Linked DNA regions of Struthio camelus. The protein of the gene in region 2 interacts with the protein of the main gene of each other region in a pairwise test. Links are inferred from orthologs where the notes say so. Each region holds a gene or a part of one and is shown on either strand. Other genes may lie near its edges.

Region 1 (10,612 bases), about 18 Mb from region 2:
GCAAAGGAAAGTTAAAAAATTGTCACATCTTATCTGGAGCGCGGCTAGACTCACCCTTGCTGCCAGTTCAAAGCACCGGATATGCTTTACTGCTGCGCAGTTGGCCAGGGTAGGTGCCTGTTGGATTACGTTAGATTATGACTCAAATAATCAGGATTATGCAGGCATGCTCTCAATGTAAGGTTAATAACTTCTTTAGTTTCTTCTATAGTTTAAAGACCTTTCCATTTCTAAAGGGCTTAGGGGTGTTTGTAAGTGTGAACGGCAGAAACCTTTTACACAACTCCATATCTGTACATCAAGCCTTTTTGCAACTGCTGAGGGAATACTGTATTTACTTGAATACACAAAAAAGTAGTCAGAGGTTACATGAACAGAACATTGTCATAGGTGAGATGGATAAGCGGGGCCTTGAACTAGGCTGCTGGCTACGGAGGCCAAGCGGCCAGCGGATAAACCCATCTGACCACAGGCAACAACCGTTCTGGTGTGTTTGACTGCACTTGCTTCCTAACCGAGAACACGTAAGGTGAATTAGTGAGATTCACATGCAGCAGATGAATGTCATCATGATAAAACTCAAGGCCTGTGATGCATTTAAATCCTTTGGTTTTGAATATAAATCACTACTTTTTCTATTATGTGAAAACCCTAACTCTAATGACATTTGAGGTGGGTTTTTTTAGCCCTACAGTAAGTGATGCAACTATCAACTCACTGCTATTTTGGGTTTTGACACTGGAGGACTGTTCTGTTCAGACTAAAAACCTGCCAGACTATGAGACTTCCGTGTTTCTTTTATAACAGATGATCTGAACAAATGGAATCTATAGCCACATCCTTCTGTTAGTTTAATAATTTCTTATATTCTAATTTTGCAGTTAACACTAACTTTACATTCTTAAGTGAAGCAGGTTTTTTTTTTCCCCTCCCCTTGTAAGGGGACAACGTATTTCTCTGTAGCAGCTTTATACACAAAAATATTGCTGAGAAGTCTCTGGGCTGTTTTAAGCAGATAATGTAATAATTCCCTGTTCACTTTAGAAAAAAACAGACAGACATATATATCAATGTGTTGAACAAGCTAGGGCATGAGTGACATAATTTGCATATTATATTTAGCTCCTACCAAAACTGCTTTGTGACAATAAATATCAAATAGTTTATCTGTTAGGCAAATAAAAATGCTTCCTGCCTCTTAGGGGAAAAGAAAGAGTTAAAAAAGAAGAAGAAAAAAAATATAGTTCCTGCAATGTACTATGATTTACTGCTCTGTTGGGTGCACATATACGTTAGATACGCTGGATGCTCATACATATAAAAAAATAAACAAGCCATTAAACACTGACAGATCCCAAATCCAGAAGGAAATAAGCTCTGGGTTACTGTTTCTCAGGTGTACCTTAGTTATGCAATTAGCCCTGACTGCACACTCATGGAACATAGTTTGCTGGATTAATACCCTCTTAAGTGCATAATCACTTCTCAGCAACTGATTTTTTCACACCTTTACTTATTTAGCAGCAGGAGATGGACAGAGACAGCCAGGCACAAAGGCATTGCAAAGGGCAACATCTTCCAAGGCAAGGACAGAGCCAAGGGCAGTGTTCTGGAAAATGTAAGATAGCCAAGTAAGGCAATGACAGCACTGAAAATATGCTGGTAATACACTTCCCAAGAGGTGGCAATATCACTTGTACCAAACCTAATGCTTTCACTCTACCATTAACCTCTTTTAAAATTAATTTTAAAAAATTCTTTGCACTATTCAAACAACTTCTCTGACAGCAGGGAACAGGGTGTGCCCTATAGTTTTCCCTCTCTCATGCTGAGCCTGCTGGGCTCCTGTTTCTGTCTGTGAAGTCTTTCTGTGACAATACCCGGTTGCCTTGCCTCTTGCAGATCTTTGCTCTGCCCTGCTGGCCACTGTTCTTCAGATTCCCGTTACACATCTCCCACTGACCATCTCCTATTACTAACTTAACAGAGATATGAGAAATCACTTGTTGAAAGGTGATTAAGCGGTTACAGTCCAGCATAAGGTTGCCAGCCTTCTGCCTCCAATATTAAGCAGTAGCGGTAAGCATCTGAATTAGAGTCTTAGCTGATACGAATGTGTATACTTCTACTGATTTCAGTAGGGTTGCCTTGCTTTACATGACATTTAGCTCAAAAGCACTTACCCACTAGGTTAATTTAGACTCCAGCCCTTGGTTAAAGGAGGTTTCTGTGTGCCACCCTTTGCTGTACTCAGCATTATCAAGGAAGATTCTTTTTTATTCCTTGTTATTCTCTTTAGCCTCTTTATGCTTTAAAGAAAGTTATTGAATGTGGCTGTTTTCTTTGGTAGCGCTGTGAGGAACCTGTACCACAAAAGTGGGCTTGTGTTTCCCCTCGGAGCGCTGAGGTCTACTGTAAAGCTAGTCTAGGTTTGATTTATGAAGCACTTGCACAGAAAGCTCTCTCCACTTAAACCTTCTAGTCTATGTTTTGCTGAGTCCATTTTATCTGTCTGGCTGTGGAAAAAGAAAAAAAATGGAAAGCATAAAAAAGGAAAAGTAAGGTTCAAATATAACGAGGCCTGAGGTAGTTCACAGCTTCTTAAACAGTTTTTGCTCTTCAGGCAAACTGCTAACCAGCCCTACACCTCCCTTCCCACGTCAGCTCTCTGCTGTAACCTGTTTCCCTGAAATGAGAAGAGGTCTTTGCAGCCTTTCTATTACGACTGTGGATGTCAAGACAATTTCCCAGATAAGAGAAGAGCCATAGAATGAAACAGGCTGAAATCACCTGTTACAGCACATTTGCAAACATGAAAAAGCCAAACAGAGCGGCCTCTTACCACAGCAACATACAGCAGGGGTACAAAACTGCTGCGAAAAAAAATCCTAAAGTGTGATTCAGGACATACCACTGCAGGGGAGTGATATCCTGGCTGTACTTAGGTTTGGAAAAAAATGTTCTGAAAGGTTCTCTTGCTGCCACATACTCTATTTTAGTTCTGGGGCTCATTCTGTAATGTCATATATATTCTGAGTAGTAAAGGAACCACCTGATGTCCAGCTCCATTTCAGGGAAAGGGAGGTCATAGGTACGATGGGGACTAGAAGACAAGTTTGGATGTACTCAAATTACTGGGAGATCAGAAGAGTAGAGACACCTTGAAAGGTCAGTATCAGAAACACAGCCTGTTAATGATGCTAATGATATAAACAACACCCAATATATTTAGGACTCGATTTGGTGAAGCACTTAAGTGCATATTGTACTTTAAGCACCTGAGTAGTTGCACTGATTTCAACCAAGTGACTTGAACACCTAAAGCAAGGCCTATGCTCACCACATAGAAGTGCTAAGCACGGGATAATGACAGAACTGATTTTCTTGGCATTTATCCACACTCTCTAAATGCACAGATTAGTGGATCTTCCTTTTATAAAATTGCCTTTTGCTGGTGTTCATCAGCCTGCTCTCAAGCTATTCTGTTTTGTGGCACAAGAAAATCTTGCCCCTCTAATTTCTTCCAAAGGACTCAAAAATCTCTTTTCGCTCAAAACTAACCCAACATTTCTATGTATCTGCCTCTACCCAGTCTCATCACCAAAAGTGAAGAGGTCACATTTGTGCCCCTATTCTCTCACATTCAAAAGGAAAATATTACCTGAGAAAACAATCCAACTTTTACTTTTTTGGCATAATAGGCTTAATTTATTATTCTGCTTATAATTACTGACAACGTCCCAGAAAAATGCAAAGCTTACTGTTTTGAGACCTTTCACTGATTGTAACTTATCATGTCATAGGCCCTTTTAGCACCAGAGACATCATTCTGGCTCAGTAATCCCTTCAGAGAATTCCTTCCAACAAATATAGGAGAGTGCCATCATGATGAGAAAAATCCTTTCCCCTAACACTGTTTACCATCCAAGAATAAACAGCAATGAAAAGAATGGCTTCCCAAAACTTAAGGGGGTCCTCATCCACTTATCAGGAAAACATTGCTACAAGTATCGCACATAAGCAACTTACCCTTTCCAGTGGATTCCAGTCAGCTGAAAGTCGGTTTGAAAAAAAAAAAAGAAAAGAAAAGAAAAAGAAAAGCCGTCGTAACGCTGTATCAACAGACAGCTGTCCTAGTGGGCACCGGGGACACAGCATGACTAGCATTGCTGAGCCGTTCAGTCACTGCCGAAGGAACGATGATCTCACATTTCGTTCCGATTCACACATGCGGGGCAGTGAGACAGAGAGACTGGACCGTCCCCCCCGGTTGAGGTCCCCCCCCCCCTCCTCGGGACACCAGAGCTGGCTAGTTAACATGTCTGGAATGAGTGTGAACCTACCTCCTAGCTGGCAAACCCCAGCGGCATACTTGGATTCCCAGGTTGGAAGATTATCTCATTCACGCAAAGTTCTCCCAAAGATATATAAGCAAAGCCAGGGTGGTGGCCCCTGCAGAGCTTACTTGAGCCCTTGGGAGCTTCATCCACGCAGGAGTACAACCTCAACCACTGGCAGATATGATGATGATGCAAGTTGAAGAGCTGGTAGGTACAACCTTCTTTCATTTATTCATAGTTATTTTTCCTCCTGAACTGTTGTACCAGTCAGAAAGAGACAACCTTTGTGGATTGTTGAGGTGATTCAGAGGGTGACCATTAATGCTGTGCTTTAGGTATAAAAATTGTGTATGTTATCCTAACATATTCTCACTTTAACCTTGTCTTGGGAAGGGAACTCACCACTGATACCACTACACAGCTGCATGGGTTTCGCATCACCAGATATTTCACCAGGATGAACAGACTGATCAAAAATTAGCTGTGTATTTTCTTTTGACCTTGATTTTGACTTTTTTAAAAGCTATTATGTTTATGATCACTCAGATAATTCCAGTCCAGTAAGGGATTAGGAGAAGGTCTCAATACAGGGAAACCAAACCTTTTCTTTTTTAATCCAACATTAAGCATTACTAACAGCTCTTGCACTTGCTACTTTTCTCGGTGTAAAAAGCCTTTGAAAAATAACATCTAAACCAAACCACAAGTAATGGGACCAAAGGGACTCCATTGCAGAGTTCAGACAAATTATTCTTGATTTGACCAATAAAGAGGGACAATCCACTACAACATTGGAATATTATAAGGAAACTCCTTTTCCTTCCAGATGGGTAAATTAAGATGAAACTACCATAAAGCCTAACTAGTTAATGCTGTCTTAAATTCTTGGGCAAGGCTCTGCCTTTTCTTCTAGCGTTAAACTCTTTTGGCAAGGCCCTGCCAATTTCTCTAGTGTTAAACTCTGTGACAAACATAATTTTACAAGGGTGATTGAATGAAAAGCCAGTCCATATCAGATGAATTTACTGAGCTACTCTCAAAATATACCACACCCTCCACTAAGTTTAACATGTGATCTCTTTGGACACACTTCATCAAGCATATCTCCAAAAACTATTCAAAACTGTCAGCAAAAACAATCAAGCATCCCACAGCTTGTTCACAGGAACCACCTTATGCTATCTTGCTAAGTGCTATAAATGGGGACTTTGGTATTGACAGCAATGGGTAAGATCAGCCTTGAAATTACTCAGCAACCTTATTTAATTGCACTGTGTGTTTCACTCTAAGTGTAAGGTCCCAAGGGAGACGGCCTCTCCTCTCACTCTGCTTGCTCACGGGGCACTGCTCAGGGTGGCTCTTCCCACCAGCGCCTTTTACCTCCATAGATCTTGACCAAACCCTTGAGAGGCCAACGGGGGGGGGGGGGGGGGGGGGAAGGGTGGCTCTGTGGAGGTGGAAGAGCTCCCTGCAAGTGAGATTGCTCTAGCTGCTCACATGCACAGTTAACCCAGGCACAGGCTGAGTGAGGTCTGCACTCTGTCTATCACACACTCCTAGAGCAGGACACTTTAAAAAATGACATGCAGTTAGCTCCTAGGTAATCCATGTTCCCAGGAGCTGGCTGCTTCAGTCATGAAACTGCTGCTTATATTATATTGCATTTGCTTTTGCAGGTAACTGGGAAGAGAACTGATGATAAAGAGACTGGCAGTTTCCTCCCCGAGGACTTCAAAAATGGAGAGTATGAAGCTGCTGTAAGGTTAGAGAAGCAGGAGGATCTAAAGACAGTCTCTGAACATGTACTGACCCGAGGAGATCTGGCCTATCAGAAAGAGAAAAAGCTAGAGGCAGAGGTAAGCTCTTAAGGTTTGTGCTCAATTTTTGACATCCTGTACACACCTTGCTCAGTGCCCTCGGAGTCTTGTCTCTTTCTAATTAAGAAATACATGCCTTGCGAGCTAGCTAAACAAACCCTTGGGAGATTGCTACCAAACGAGTACTTGGTCTGACGCCCATCGAAGGCAGAGCTGGACCTGCTGGCTCTCATAGGCGATGGCTCCAGGCAGTAGCCACAACTCCCCAGTAAAGTCTGCCCCAAACCCTGTGGGCTCTCTCCTGCCCAGTCCCCTCTGCTAACTCTCAGTAAGGGGGAACAAACATAAACTAAGATACCTTCAGCTGGGCACACCTAATGACTGCCACCAAATATAACTAAAGCAAGAAAGCTTTCACAAATTGGCACTGCTTTGCTTTCCACCAAGGATGTGAGAGTGCACTTCTGAAGCCAGAAGCCCTACCTACCATACAAATATTCTTTTTATGAAAACTCTGCAGTGTGCTTACTAGCACATTTGGAAAAATAAATAAATACAAATGAAAGTGATATCGATCTACAGAAAAGTTCCATTTTGTATTTCTGTAGCATGACAATTCCTCCCATACCCCCCCAAACTGATTCTTTTTTCCCAAAATACAGTAGCTGTAACATTTTACATTCTTGGCCTCAGAACTTAGAGCAATACGGGAATGAAGAAGTTGAACTAGCAGGGAGAATAAGGCTTTGGTCTGAAAGAGAAGGATGAAAAAGTGAGCTTCCAAAATATTATGTGAAATAAATACAACTACTGGCCTTCACCTTCCACCTGGAGGTCATTACTTGCTACAGTTCCTCTATCCAAAACAACCACCTTGTCCTAACAGTTCTTGGAATTTCCCGTTGATCGAAAGCCCATCCAAGCCAACAGAATATTTTCCACTAACTCAATGATCTTAATGCAGTGAACAGTAAAAAAGGAGAGGTCAAAATTACTTGAATAAGAATTCAGTTGAAAGAAATCTATTATATGGCAGGGCTTCACCAGTGTATTTACCCTTAAAGATACCACGGGGCAGAATTTGTCACTTGTCTTCGCCCTGAGTTACCCTTCTGCGAGTCACCCTTCTGAAGTCATGGACACAAGGACCCTCATAGTATTTGAGATCCTGGCCCTTAATTCAGGCAACACATTTGTGCCTGGTGTTAGCAGAGCCCCATACTGACCTCATGCAGTGATCCTTTTTTCAAGTAGGCTTGAAGAAGTCTTAAACGTGTACTGAACTGCCTTCTCAAGGATACCGGAGACAACCTTTGTAGCTTACCAAAATGTAACATTTCCTGAATGAAATGCTAAAATCAGTATAAACCTTGCAATTCACTTAATGGTATATTTTTCATCAAAGAGGATTAAGTTAAAATAAATCAAGCAGCCTACATCCTAAAAGTAGATGCTGGGTAGAAGTCAGTAAAAACTGCAGGGGCTTTCCAGCCCTTATAAGTTAACCATGAGATTTCTTAAATTGTTGAGCCAGAAGGGACTGTGGGGCTGCTCCAACTCCTAGCATAACGCAGAAAAGCTATGCTATCCCCCAACATATGGCTGAGGAGAGAGACAGCATTTAGAAAGGGGGCCAAGGGCGTATGATGATGTAGATTTTCTCACACCCCTAGTAATGTATTATAATGGTTAATTAGCCCTAGTTGTTTAAAAAAAAAAAAAAAAAAAGGCAACTTAGTTCAAAGCTCATGCAGTCTTAACCTAGCCGAACTCCGCTGAAGAACAGCGCACCCTGTCCTACCCCTCTGAAAGGCAGAGAGGTTTACGCTGCAGCTCAGCTTGCTGCCTTCCCTGCTCTGTTTCAGCTCAAGAAGAAAAAATTACAGGAGAGGTCAAAACTTGAAAACTTGGAGGATCTTGAAAAAATTATTCAGCTGAAGAAGAAGAAAAAATGCAAGAAAGAGAAAGCACCTATTTTAAAGGAACCTGAACCAGAAGTTATTGTAAGTCCTATTACGAAGTGTTTTCTTCTGTGAAAGGACCGATGGGGTTTTGCACTATTGCAGAGCTGCCACACGCGTTTACGTGCTGTGTATGTCTCTCCACCAGACAGGACCAGTGGATATACCCACGTTCTTTACTGCTGCACTGGAGAACAAGTTGCCAGTAATTGAAAAATATTTGTCAGACAAAGGGGATCCAGACGTCTCTGATGAGGTACCATATCTCTTCTTACTTCAAAGCCTGCTACAGAAGAGAGATTATTAGTGAGCAAAAATAACTATTACCACTAGGTTTTGTGGCTTCCATACTTTTGAGGTGAAGAAAAGGGGGAGGGGTGAGAAAGCAAACATCAGGAGTTGGACATACTACATTTTCCTGTGTCAAAGGGACCACTTCAAAGTAACGTTACAGCTAAAGAATCTTTATATTTAAAAGAAATATCCTGGGGACTGGAAGACCCTGCCTCCTGTACCAGGTGATCTTCCAGTGCCGCAGAGGGTCAGATAAGGATTTTTTTTTCTGCAGAACTACAAAAAAGTGATGCTGCCTGCTCTCATTCTCCATAACACACAGGCTGCATTTGCAAAATGCAGCATAGTATGTTGAATGGAGGAATTCAACAGGCACCATTTTAAATTTCAGTGTCATACTGCAGATATTCCTCATGCCCTTTAAAATGCTAGGGCAGGCAGCTCTCTGTTATTAGGATGCTATTAAAATTTAGCAGATTTCAGGTCTCAAAAGCATTAGCTCTGGAAAATGAATCCGCATAAAGCATGTGTGTTTGCCATCACCCCAGGTAGGCAGGGAGACAAGATTTAAAGAGATCTCTTTGTGCCACATTTAATATCTGACTTTGCACTGTTTTAATTGACAGTACAAACGCACTGCATTGCACAGGGCATGCTCTGAAGGACATCTAGAGGTGGTGAAAAAGTTAGTGGAAGCCGGAGCCCAGCTTGAACTGCAGGATATGGTATGCACATCAACTCACGTTCATTTCAAAAAATTGCTCATTGTTTCCTAACTCTGACAAAAGACACACACAACAGCGAAGAACAGCAAAAGGCCTCTGTTAATTAAAGTGTCTTGTAAGTTTATCCTTAAAAGAACACTGCTGAGGAGAGGTTTCAAGAGGGGGTGTCTGCCTCACTTTCCCAAAACGGTTGCTGGAAAACACAGGAAGCGGAGGAGCATATCGGCCAGTAGACTGCCACAAACAACAGAGCCTAAAGAAGGATAAGAAAGCTGAGGTCAGGCTACCACTTCAGACTGCTAGCAGGTGGTGGAGATACCACTGTCCCACGCCTTTATCAAGGGCTCAGCGCAATATATACGTTCTCCCTCAGGATTTCAACACTGAGCTCAGGAGAGACCTCTGCTCCTCTGGAATGCTGGCCATGGGGGTAGCTGAGTATGAACAGCTTTTGCAGCTGTTTTCTTGCTTCTCCGTTCCCAGCATTTTGTGCCTTTACTACACAGTTGGAATCAGCCAACCTCTTTCCCCCTCGCTTAGCCCTGCAGTGATTGTGGGTAGCGTAAGAAACATGAGGAATGACCAGCAGAGCAAGATCTGCAAGGGAAATTCCACCCCTTGCAACAGAGCTTAGTGGAGAGAAATCAAATACTGCAGAGGTGAAGTGCTCCAACTCACTTCGGGAGCCTCCGAGAGTTTGAAAGAGAGAACTATTCTTTCCCTTGATCGTCATGTTCTGTGTGCTTTGGAATCCAAAAGGCATCAAATAAAAATAAAAAATATGAAATAGCACACATCAGCCATAAAAATCATACCTGGCTCTCCAAAGATAACTTCTAGGTTCACAGAATGGCTGACAAAACATATCCCTTCTCACAGCCAAGACTCTGTGTCTTTAAGAGCAATATGCAGTGATTGTAAAGAGTGAGAAACTGGCAGTACTAAAGGAATTAGGGCAAAATAAGAAAAGCTGTTACGAGAAACAACTCAATGATCACAGTAAAATGCTTGAGGTTGAATGCAAAATCGTTTTCACGCAATTTATTTATAAACTTGATCAGAATTGTTTAATTTGTTCTTTTTCATAAGGGTGAATTAAATTACCTTTCGTGTATTTTTCTTGGTGTAGCTTGAATCTACAGCCTTGCACTGGGCATGCCGAGGGGGGAACCTGGATGTCCTGAAATTCTTACTGGACAAAGGAATAAACAGAAATGCCAGAGATAAGGTAGGTCCTTTTGAGACTCAGCAGCTTTGTCGATTGCAGATGAAAAGCTGACCCTTACTCGAAATTGCTGATTTTTGGTGGCCGTTCCTGAAGCGGTCTGCCTTTCTGATTTTCTCTTTATGCGTTCTGCCCCACTGACTGCTCTCTCTCGCCTCCTGCTTCTCAGCTGCTCAGCACCCCTTTGCACGTGGCTGTGAGAACGGGTCAGTACGACTGTGGGGAGCACCTCATCGCCTGCGAAGCAGAT
Region 2 (10,899 bases):
AGAGGGGCAATGGGGCACAGTAAAAGGGTTGTTCATGCTTACTGACAATCTAAACACTGATTTATCATTTCTAATATTTGGGTGTCAGTTCCCGGTCGCTACACAAAACTCCTGGAGGATCTTAACTTGTACAATTCCCAGTTGTAGTTCTCAGGATACACAGTCCTTCTTCATAAGAATATGTAGTCTAGTGGTACTTGGCTGTCCTGTTAGAGCAAGGAAATCGGCCACTGTTGCTTGCATGTCAGAGTCCACTTGACTCTTTGCAACATAGTATCTTTTAAAGAGTGCAGCATTGTGGGGTTGGTGGCCGGGGGAGGAGGGGGGAGGTTTGCTAGTGTGTTACATAAAATGCATCAACTGTCTCTGGATCCTTTGCAGCGACAGACATGGGAACAGTAATCTGCATTTACCCATCAGGTGACACTTCTAGTACAGAAACGCAGCCTGTGACATGCACAACATTGCCCATCTCTTTAATCAGATTGCAAACTCCTTTCATTGGTTTAGAAACCAAGCCAAGAGATTTATGAGCTGTAAAAGAGAAAACTCTTTCTCCTATAGGCAGTGGTGGCGCTGTTCAATACCCCAGACTAAACACACTAAAAGCACTGTTAAGTTCTCCTGAAATAAGAACTGGTCAGAGACAACAAGACTTTAGGATGAGCTTTCATTACCAGAGACACTGCTGTGAGGAAAAGCTATTTTTGTGGGCAAAGATACCTAAGTGTATGCAGACCCTTTCAGATGATAGATGCCTAGCGAAAACATTTGACAGACTATGAGGAGCAGCACCAGTTCCAGTTATGCTGGGGAGAATGCTCGTCCCATGGCAGGCAGGGGGTGCTGCTAGTGACTGATCGGCTCCAGGAGGAAGCAGAATTGTGCTTGTGCTCCTTAGGTCACTTTGTGACTCAAACGTCTGCACATGTTTTTTGACTGGTGTGTCCACAGTACACAATTAGACCATTGGTTGAATGAGGTATGAGGAATCACCTGAGCTTTGGTACCATTTCATGTACTTGCTTTTAAAGAGTAACAGCAGAAACAATCACTCAGACCTGCTTTGATCTCCAAACAGACATAGTGACAGCTGCTGTACATAAAACAACTGCAGCAGATCTGAAAGTGGCCTGGTCTAGTCTAGCTGAGCTTCATTAAAATCACAGACCCTTCAGAAACCAACCGTTAAAATAGGTTGCCAGCAAGTTTTTCTTTGTGGTGCTCTTTCCTGGGAGTTGCACTGCTAAGGCTCAGCTTGGTGCACCATCATTTCTTTTCCTTCTGGGGCTGCCTGTGGCTCACTCTGATCTCCATGTGTATGGTCAGTCTCAGCTGGCTCGTGGCCTTTGCCCTCTCTCTGGTTCTAGCCCCACTTGAAGTTGATGCTCCTTTGGCAGTAAATGCCAGCAGCCCTCAGCCATGTGCCTTTCGCTCTAAGGCTGGATTCCTGCTCAGAAGACTTTTTTGAAGTTCTTCCTCACTAGCTTCTGTGATAGGTATCTTATCTAACTAGTCAGGGCTGCTCTGTAATATCTGTCCCAAAGCTTACTGCCAACCAGCAGCTGTCAGCACTGTTTCCAGCACTAACCTCTAAAACTGAAATAAACCTTTGTACATATGTAATTGTGAGCCTGAGGTAGCTTGAGTTGAAGAATTTCTTACTCGAAACTAATGAGGCAAAGACATGCTATATGCTAGGCACATGATACTGTCCTATATGTACTACTGCCTTAAGGGCAACCTTGAAATCACTACAACTAGGGCAGCCCTATCTATTTACCCACTTGCCCCCCAAAAAAGTGCTCACCTGCTTCAATGACTTTGGGATAGTGTACCAGAGCCTTGTAAATGCTAAGTCCTGCCTCTTCTCTGAGCTATCAAAAAAAAAAAAAAAAAAAAAAGGGTGGTAGATCAATGTTGTAAAGGATAATGTGTTCTTCAGATCTTCAGGTACCATTTTCTTTCTTATGTTCTAAGTTTCTAAAACTCTCCAATACCGTACTTCAGAGGGCACCTTCCAGGCGCAGGCCTATTTGCAAGCTCATTGTTGGACTTGACAGTATGGCTAGTATTGAGGAAGCCTTCAGATGACCCCAAGAGACAGTGCAGACTCATCATATAATTTTGGGTAGTTCACCTGAATTTCTAATGATTGCTCTCTGCCAAACAATGCATAATCCATTTCATTTCTCAATGGTTCAGCGCATACCATTAATGGGACGATATTAACTTCATCATAACATCTAGAAATCAAGAATTTTCCATTTATGAGAAAACCTGAAAGTTCTTGCAATTGCAGTCTGATAATCCTACTGGGGAACAACAGCCAACCAGGCATGCATCAAGTTCCATTTCAAGACTCATTCCTTCTGCTTGTAAAGTCATCCAAAGAGTACTTTGAGCTCTGACAGACAAGATCTGAGAAATGCCAGCATGTCTGGTGCTCACGTAATTTATTCTCGGGTGCTGAGTCTTATCCCAGAGAGGCAGATGTTCCCTTCTGCTGACCAGCAAAGACAAAAGCACATAAAGCTGGAGGTTGTGGTATCGTGAAGTACTGCAGTAAGATTTTTTTAGTGCTCAGCAGTCAAAGGCCTGACTTTACTGTCTTCTAAAAATGTAGTAACAGAGATACAACAGTATTTTCCATGGACTCTAAGCTGTCATCTGCAAACCAGAAAATTTGACATTCTCTGATATTGCTCTACCAAGATGATAGCTTTGCAATGACCTGCATGTTTACTGTGTATGCCATAACTTCTTGTGATTCCTATAAGTTTTGTCCTTGGACCGCTTGCTGTTACTATAGTCAGTCTTACTGTCACAGTAAAGGCTCATAACTTTTAAGGTCTCTCAGTGCGACTGTTTCTCTATAATCCTTAGTTCATTTGTTGCATAGTTTGTTCAATGATTTTGCAATTCTAGCATCTGATATAAAAACCTCTTTTGCAGTAGAAATTTTTGCATATATGTTTGGATCAGATGGTTTGCAGTGAATAATCACTTTGGACTGCTTAATTTTGCATATCATGCGCTAAATGGCTATGCACTGCTTAAATTGTTTGCAAATTGCTGGTCTCCTACTTATTTTCTTAATTGCCCAAGTCAAGAATAGTTAAATTTGCTTCCTGATTCTGTGTGGAAGCCAAAAAGCTATGTAATTGCTACTGACCTAAGGATAGAGAATTTTGCATGATTTCCATAATTTTAGCACATTTTGTCAGCTGAATTGCTGGGTCATGCAGCAAATTGTAGAGTCGAACCTCTGTTTATATCTAGCAAATCACTTACAGAATTATCTATTATCTAGCAGTCTGGTCAGATTATTTAGCTATTAAATAAATCCACTTCTCCCCTCCTGCCCAAACTCCCCAAATTTAAGCCATTTAAAGACATATAAATTAGTGCCAAATATAATCTGTAAGGAGTTACTCTAAAGTCTGATTAAAAATGTATGTTCATTTTGAATAGGAACTTTTTACAAGTGTAAGTAATTCAAGCAGTTTATTACTGCCTACAGCCAGCCAGTTACTACACCAGGAGTGACTATACCACATTTTTATAATAATTATATCTCAGTAGACGTCTACATGGATTTACAGTTATTTTATCAGACACATTAGACCTCATTTTCAGGCTCCAGATTTTGTAATCTTTATCTATAGAAACTGTAATGTCCGAACTACAGCAGTGTGAGTCCAGCATCAATATCCACTTCTTGTCAGCACTGAATGGCTCATACCAACTGTTACAGATATTATAAAAGAGCACACTAGACCTCCATTCCAGGTATAAAGTTGCATTAGACATCATCAAATTCACAAAACTCCCATCCTGTCCCCAAAAGGAGGACTGGATTCACTATACAACTTCTCCATATCACTGAAGAAACCACAAGCTATTCTGACAATAATATTTTAGAAAGAGAGAGAAAAAAATAAAGAAAACCACCTTCAAGACATAAGGAGATTTACCTTTATCTATAATTTTTCATACTGTTACACAGTATGAAAAAGTCATATGTAAAACATCCTTCCTGAGTACTACATCCCATGAAAGAACCTCTTTGCTAGCAAAGGAGCTCCCTTGATACATTTTGACAAAATTGGAAGAAGGTCTAAAGGTCAGGTAATTATATCATTAGCTGTGGAAAGGGCCATCTACCAACTTCCCATAATACATACATATCATTATATAGTCTTCTAAAACTGGAGTTGTGACCAACATTTTTGATAAAATAATATATCAATAATCAAGCATCATTTTTGATAAGCCGGCAAGTTTAGTAATATTGATTTGTTGTTGTTGTTGTTGTTGCTGGTATCTAGAATGAGTAGAAAAGAAAATCTCTACATTTTCCAAGTGATACAGTAGGTTTTAGTCATTCATGTTTTTAACCAGAAACTCAATTTTACAGTGGTATTCTACATAATAATAGGCTTTCTCTGTGTACTGCTTAAAATATTTTGAAATTATTTCACATATGTTGATATTTCAGTTTTACTTACAGTTAAGTTTCAGTTACCGCTTTTAGCTATTTTTCTCCAGACAGTTTACTTCTGTGCATTCAGCAACCATTTTAGAAGATCTAGCTTTGTGAGGACTTGCAGTTAAAGGCCATCTTTAAGGATTTGTGCATTGTTGCACTGTTTATTGAATTGAACATTGAGAAGAAGTCAGGAATAGTGTATTCTTAAAAATAAGACATACACACACTTTTGCCCAGTTTGTCTTTGGAGCTGCAAAACTTTTAAATTGTTACCTGTTAGTGGGTTTCCCAGTGATGGTAATCCTTGAGTCCTGATCAAAACATAAGGATAATAACAAGAACAATTGCATTTAAAACGCTGAAGCATAAAGCAGGCGGACAAGGGTAGTACAATGCAAATACATTGCCCCTTGGATGAATCAGCAAAACCTGCAAAAGCATCTATAGAGGACGTTCGGCGGGGACGGAGACGGCACTCAGCGCCCATAGGTGCTGCTAGAGCGGTGGAATCCCTTTGCCCGATATTCTCCTGTCCAATGAGGTGGAATGCTCCGCAGGCACATGGTTTACGCTGCTCAAAATAACTTGGGACCTGCAAACTGACAAACGCTATTGCTCCGGTGGTGACAGGTTGTCCAGCTTCGTACAGCCATCCTCAGAAAAACGAAGGTTAACTTCCTTCGTTGTATGGACTCCTAGCTGTTTCTGTTCCTAAAGACTCGAAGAATTCCCTTGCTTCCGTAACTTTAATCTCACACTTCTGGATAACTGTCATCTCTACTTACTGCCAGGGCTGGGCAGCAACATCTGGAACAATTAAAAAAGGTAATGCCTCAACTTTAGATTGGTCTGTGTTTTGATTTTGTTGCACATGTATAGAGGGGTTTGATGAGCAAGTATATTTTAATGCTAATTATTGCTGATAAGACATATACAGGGAACAAATCATTTTTCAAGTGACTGACAAGTTATGCTGGGGCATGTGTATTACAACGAAAGAGAAACAGTGTTCCGCAGCATTATAAAGGGCTCGAATAGCACTGGTGGTGTTCTCAAAACTCCCTTGGAGCCAGTCTGTCTCCTCCAAAGAGTCAACAGAAGATAGTAACGACCTGAAAAGTTCATTGCCAGACTGTATTTTTCTTCCAGCTTTTTTTTCCCCTCCAAGTTCTGAAATAATTACATTCTGGTATTCACTCTTTAACTAAGATACCATAATTTGAATCTCCCTCTTAAACAAAATCAAGCCTAATTTAACACGACCTGATAGTTAAATACTTTCTATTATTTATTTATTTATTTATTTTGTCATGTAAAATGACCCCGCTGGCTATATTTAGTGCTGGGAGATCTGCTCTCTGGATTAATGTACACAACAGCTGCAGAGACAGTCCTGCTAGAAGGGCATTGCTCTCCCCCTTGAGCTCTCTATCTCCCTTGCTTGCGCGCTCTCTCTCTCCCTCTCTCTCTCTCTCTCTCTGAAAAGTATTTGACTGTCAGTGGCAAATGTTTGGCCCAATATATTGCAGCATTAAGCAGTAATCAGAAGCCCATCTTAAATTTTACAAAATAATACGTCAACAATTTACAAGCGAACAGAGTAGCTCTTGAGTTTACATCAACAGAACTTTATACAAATCATGCTAAAGGCACCGCTTGCTTTATCAGCAGTTTTGTTTTGGTCATGAGGTTTACATTTGTGAAGAAGCTCTAGAGTTTAAGAGTGAAAACAAAATCAGCAACTGTTCATGGAACCATTTCATAAACTTCATCGCTGCTCTTCTCCCTCTTCTACACCTCCTAAAGGTTCATAAGGTCAGGATAATTATTTATTTCCTCTTTTTTCTTCTTTCAGAAAGGGCTAACGGAATTAAAACAACAAGAGGAAGTTTCTAAGTTCTGGTAGCTGAACAGAATTACTTATTTACATATCAGATATCAATTACAGTCAGTTCAGGAGTAAAGTTTTATACTTGCCAGACTATCAAAGGCAGAGAAGCTGAGAGAGAACATGAAGAATACAACCATAACTGCAATCGGACAATGCAATCTAAATCATAGCCTAAATCGCTGGCAAAAAATCCAACCAAACAAACCCTTCCCCCCCGAAAAACAGTATCCTGTTCTATTAACTAGTTTAGTACTTGTTTTCATAAACAGTAATATCCTACAAGGATGGGCAAATTAATTCTGCCTAATTGAAATCCCACTTAAACATCATAATTAGTAAATATGAATCCAGTGTGATTTTTTTTTTTTAATGTTGCAAGGTTCTTATAGGAGACTGAAAAAAAAAAGTGAAAAAAGCAAGAATACCAGAAAAAATACTGTGAGAGTGTGAAAAAAGAGTGAAAGGTGCAATTAGACAAAAAATTTGTACAAAAAATACAAGCCAGATTTCTTTTATGTCTCATTTAAGGCTCAAATTTCCTTTCTCGCTAGGAACCAGTATTTGTATGACAACTGAACCTTGTCTGAAAAATAAAACAGCCCATAGTTTTAAAATTACTGAACCAAAAGATGTGCAAATGCCATTTAGACTACATACCTCCAAAACAGAATGACTGCTTTTCAGGGCTTTTTTTTGCCCAGTTTGTGCTTGCCCCGTCTGGCTATACATGCTATACAAGTTTTCTGGTCTTCAGATACACCTTGGCAATTCCCTTGATATCAGTGCCACTTAGATGCATGGGTCCAACACAGAGAATGTTGCTCGGTGTTTAAGTCATGAAAATGATCATTACAGCACTTTATGCATTATTATAATTTGTCAGTCTAGAGTCAGCATGTACAACATTTTTAAATCACTTTGTAGCCCTTAAAGCTAAGCTGTACCTTCAGTCCTGAACTAAGACCTTCCAGCAGTCCTCAGCCTCATGCATTGTGGATCTCTGCACCGCTCACTCATACAGTTAACAGGAATAGTAGAAATGACCTAGTATAAATCATTTGGGTCACAGTGGAAGTGAATTTGCAGTTTTAACCATGAAAGACTTACAGTGTACTTTGCCTGTATTTGGGCCAGAGTAAAAGAACATTTTTCACTGTTAGTCTTATCTTCCATTGTGGACTTCTGTATGTACACTCAGCACCAAACTGTGGACTTACTCTATGTTTCTGAGTCATTCGTGTAAACTCTTTCTCATAGGGTTAATCCCTGAAGGGAACTGGACTGCAAGCATTACTTAAGTCAATAAAAACTTGTCCTACAGCACTTGTTAGGACAAACTCTGAGTGTGGTACTTCATCTGCGGCTCAGCCTTCACAGGCCAATGGGAAAGGAGGATGAAGGAGCACCCCTGGCACTTCTCAAAGACTGCAGCCATCTGTTCTCTTTTTTGACCTTCTAGTTTAAAAATCAGGCTAAAATTATTTTAATTTCAATTTGACCTTATCTGCATTTTCTTAAAGATATTGCTTACCTTGTAGTTCAAGAAGAGTCACTGAGGAGGAAAAGAATTTGAGGCAAGGGTGAGAAAGGGTCTAAGTTCTCATTTTGAGCGCTACTAAGGGACAATATTAAACATGAAAAAATAAATACTTTTTTGTGATCAGATTAAAAGAACACAAAGGTCTTTCTATTATATGACAGTATGAAGGAACTGTTTAAAAAGATGAAGAGATTTGAGCATGCTTTTTCCTTGAAGAAGAGTTAAATATTTCACACCGCTTAGGATGCCTCCGTACTGTAACTTTGAGGTCACAGGCCAGGTGAGTAAGTATTCAAGGGCATGACTCCAGTGAGCATATGCTCACTAGAGCGTCTTCTGTGGAGTGATATGGAGAGGAGATTTATCCCATCCCATTTCTGAGAGGATAAAGTTCAACTCTTTTATTTTTTCTTTTGTGGGCTGTGTGATTATGCTGTCAGTGGGAAAAGGAAGAGACATTAGGGACAAAAATACAGTGGTAACGAAGGAGAACACATTCCACCTCTCACATCTCTAGCGCTAGAAGTTTCTTGCAAAATAGGTGCTTTTACCTTTTGGGTCATCTTCAATGCCTATGGATAAAATGGCAAATGCTTCCAAACAAGAGGAAAAGAATTGTAGAAGAAACCAGTACCACTCAAAAAAGCAGTCTAGATGGATCCTCTGCTACAGAAATATAGACTCTTTTAGATAGTCTGAGCTTCAAATCATTTGCTTGCGGTTTGATATTATTTACATCATGTTCATAAAGTATTCACATGCTAAATATAGCTCTGTAAATTATAATTATTTATTATTTGGCATTATATTGTTTAACTATATATAGATAATTCTATATTCCATTTGTCATGACAACCCAGGTAGGAATTTAGGTGTAAAGGGAGTTTAGAAGTAATTTTACCAGTTAAGGCCCCATTCCATAGTCACAAGTAATCAGAAGACATGAGGCATCATCCAACTCCCAAATCATTAAAGATTTATTTAAAAATAATGAAATTTCCCCAAATTCCAAATATTGGATGTTTTATATTTACCTTTTTCCTTTTTTATTCCCTTTAGCTCCCTATCAGCTTTAATGCTCATGGCTGTAGAGGAAAAGTTTTTGCGTTTTACTTGAAACTGCTTAAAAATTTAACTGTTTGGCATTTACAAACAGATGGGCTGGGAGGTGAGGGAGAGTGATTCACAGCTACTCCAAGTAAATCCAGGGCAGTGTAAATAAAGTTACTCCAGATTTATACTGCAATGAAGCTCAGGGCACAAGCTGAGCTATTAGAGGTTATATTTACAGAAGAGGGCCTCATTCTACTTATCTGAACAGAAGCAGCAGTAGCCATACATCAGTTATAACTACAGTTAAGAAATCTCTTGAACAGTATTTACATTCAAGCCAATGGCAGCAGTATGTGAAGATACTTAAAAGACCCCTACCCATCTCTTCACTATTTACAAAATTATATAACAGTGGGCAAGATACAACTACTAGCCTCTTCTAAACTTGCAATCAAATTTATTTATTTATTCCAGATCAGTTTTAAGGAATTTATAAAAAGGATTCGAGACTAGAGAAAATATTTAGAATATTAAAAAGTTGATATTGAAAAAATACACATGACGAAACAGAACGTCTCCTAAACACGGACATAATCTTTAGCCTACTTGTTCTTAGGGGAGTATTGTTTCCATCCGATGCTGTTACACTCCTGGGCTTGGAGGATCCCTCTTTAAATTCCATTGTTTAATTACATTACTTGGAAATGAAAGTTTAGTTACCTGACTTTCTGATTCATTACAAGAAGTGGAATTCAAAAGTACTAATATGTTTAAAACAAAAAAGTAAATCACTTTCTTTTAAGTAGCTTTCTAAAAACAGTTATTAAAAATATTTTACCCCCCCTGCCCCAAACACACACAAGACAGCTAACCTTAGTCCTCTGCTCCAGCCTACCCTTTCATTTGCCTGGAGTCTCAAAGTCTGTCTTACAGCAGCTATTGCATGTCAACTGGCAGTAACCGGAAACGATGACAGCGGTAACCGCTAAGTGAGAATTCCTGCAAGCACAGAAGAATGTGATTGTGATCTTTAAATGTCTGGAAGACAGATCACTTGTGTCATCTCTTAGCTTGATTTTCATAGCTGTTATCGTACAGTTGAAACACCCATACGATTGTTAGTGTTCAATAGTGTACAGGTAAATGGAATTTATTTGCAATTAAAGTAATTGGAAAAGGATATAGCCTGAATATTGGCCATACCCTCCAGTTTCCAAATAGAGGTGCTGGACATCCAGGTCCAGAGCCTCATTGTGTAAAGCCCACAAAGGTGCCACTATGCAAAGAAAGAAGCAGCTTTGCTCAATGTTCTGATACTCGGGTTTCACAGAAAAACAGTCTCATATGAAACTTATGGTATCTCGAAAAGCCAGACAGGAACACATGTATTGACTAAATTATTCATTTTTAAATCCAACTCAAGGCCAAATAAAGTGTTTAAATGCTTCATCTGCAGCTAACCTCTTTATTACAGTTAAGTGGAGGAGTGTTTGTCTGAAAAAAACTGTCTTTAGGCCATTAAGCATTCAAAGCGATCTCTCATCAACCAAAACAGATGACCTGCACTCAGACATATCCAGGAATCCCTTCAGCTTTGCTGAGATTTGACTATTGCTGTTTTCTTAGGAAAAGCGCAGATTCTTTCAGTAACGACTCAGCAGCAGGTCTAACAAGCCTCATGCGACAGGGAATAAAAGGGTACATCGAGTCTCCCAGCACAAGCTTCCACAAAATGATTTTTAGGTCAACCCGTTGCCAAAACAAACTGTGGAAGCTAATTTTATGTGTATTTTTATGTGTATTTTATCCTAAAGATCACTTTGTTAATAAAATACAGGCACAGCATGCTTGTGCAGCTAGCTGGCTAACGGAAACTAGCTCAACAGCCTGAAGAAGTAAGTGCAGTCAGTCTTGTTTGTGACA

Evidence for each region.
Region 1: the proteins of MYPN (region 2) and ANKRD1 interact in a two-hybrid assay, tested with the Homo sapiens proteins (2 studies listed by BioGRID). The link is inferred for Struthio camelus from reciprocal best matches to the Homo sapiens genes MYPN and ANKRD1.

Annotation. Positions count from the first base shown.
Region 1 is NC_090948.1:20,201,469-20,212,080, forward strand, and holds the start of ANKRD1 (ankyrin repeat domain-containing protein 1), read left to right. Parts: upstream 1-5,792; 5' UTR 5,793-5,947; coding exon 5,948-6,196; intron 6,197-8,022; coding exon 8,023-8,160; intron 8,161-8,266; coding exon 8,267-8,374; intron 8,375-9,038; coding exon 9,039-9,137; intron 9,138-10,266; coding exon 10,267-10,365; intron 10,366-10,531; coding exon 10,532-10,612. UniProt on the Homo sapiens protein: May play an important role in endothelial cell activation. May act as a nuclear transcription factor that negatively regulates the expression of cardiac genes. Induction seems to be correlated with apoptotic cell death in hepatoma cells.
Region 2 is NC_090948.1:38,654,878-38,665,776, forward strand, and holds the start of MYPN (myopalladin), read left to right. Parts: upstream 1-6,266; 5' UTR 6,267-6,307; intron 6,308-10,899. UniProt on the Homo sapiens protein: Component of the sarcomere that tethers together nebulin (skeletal muscle) and nebulette (cardiac muscle) to alpha-actinin, at the Z lines.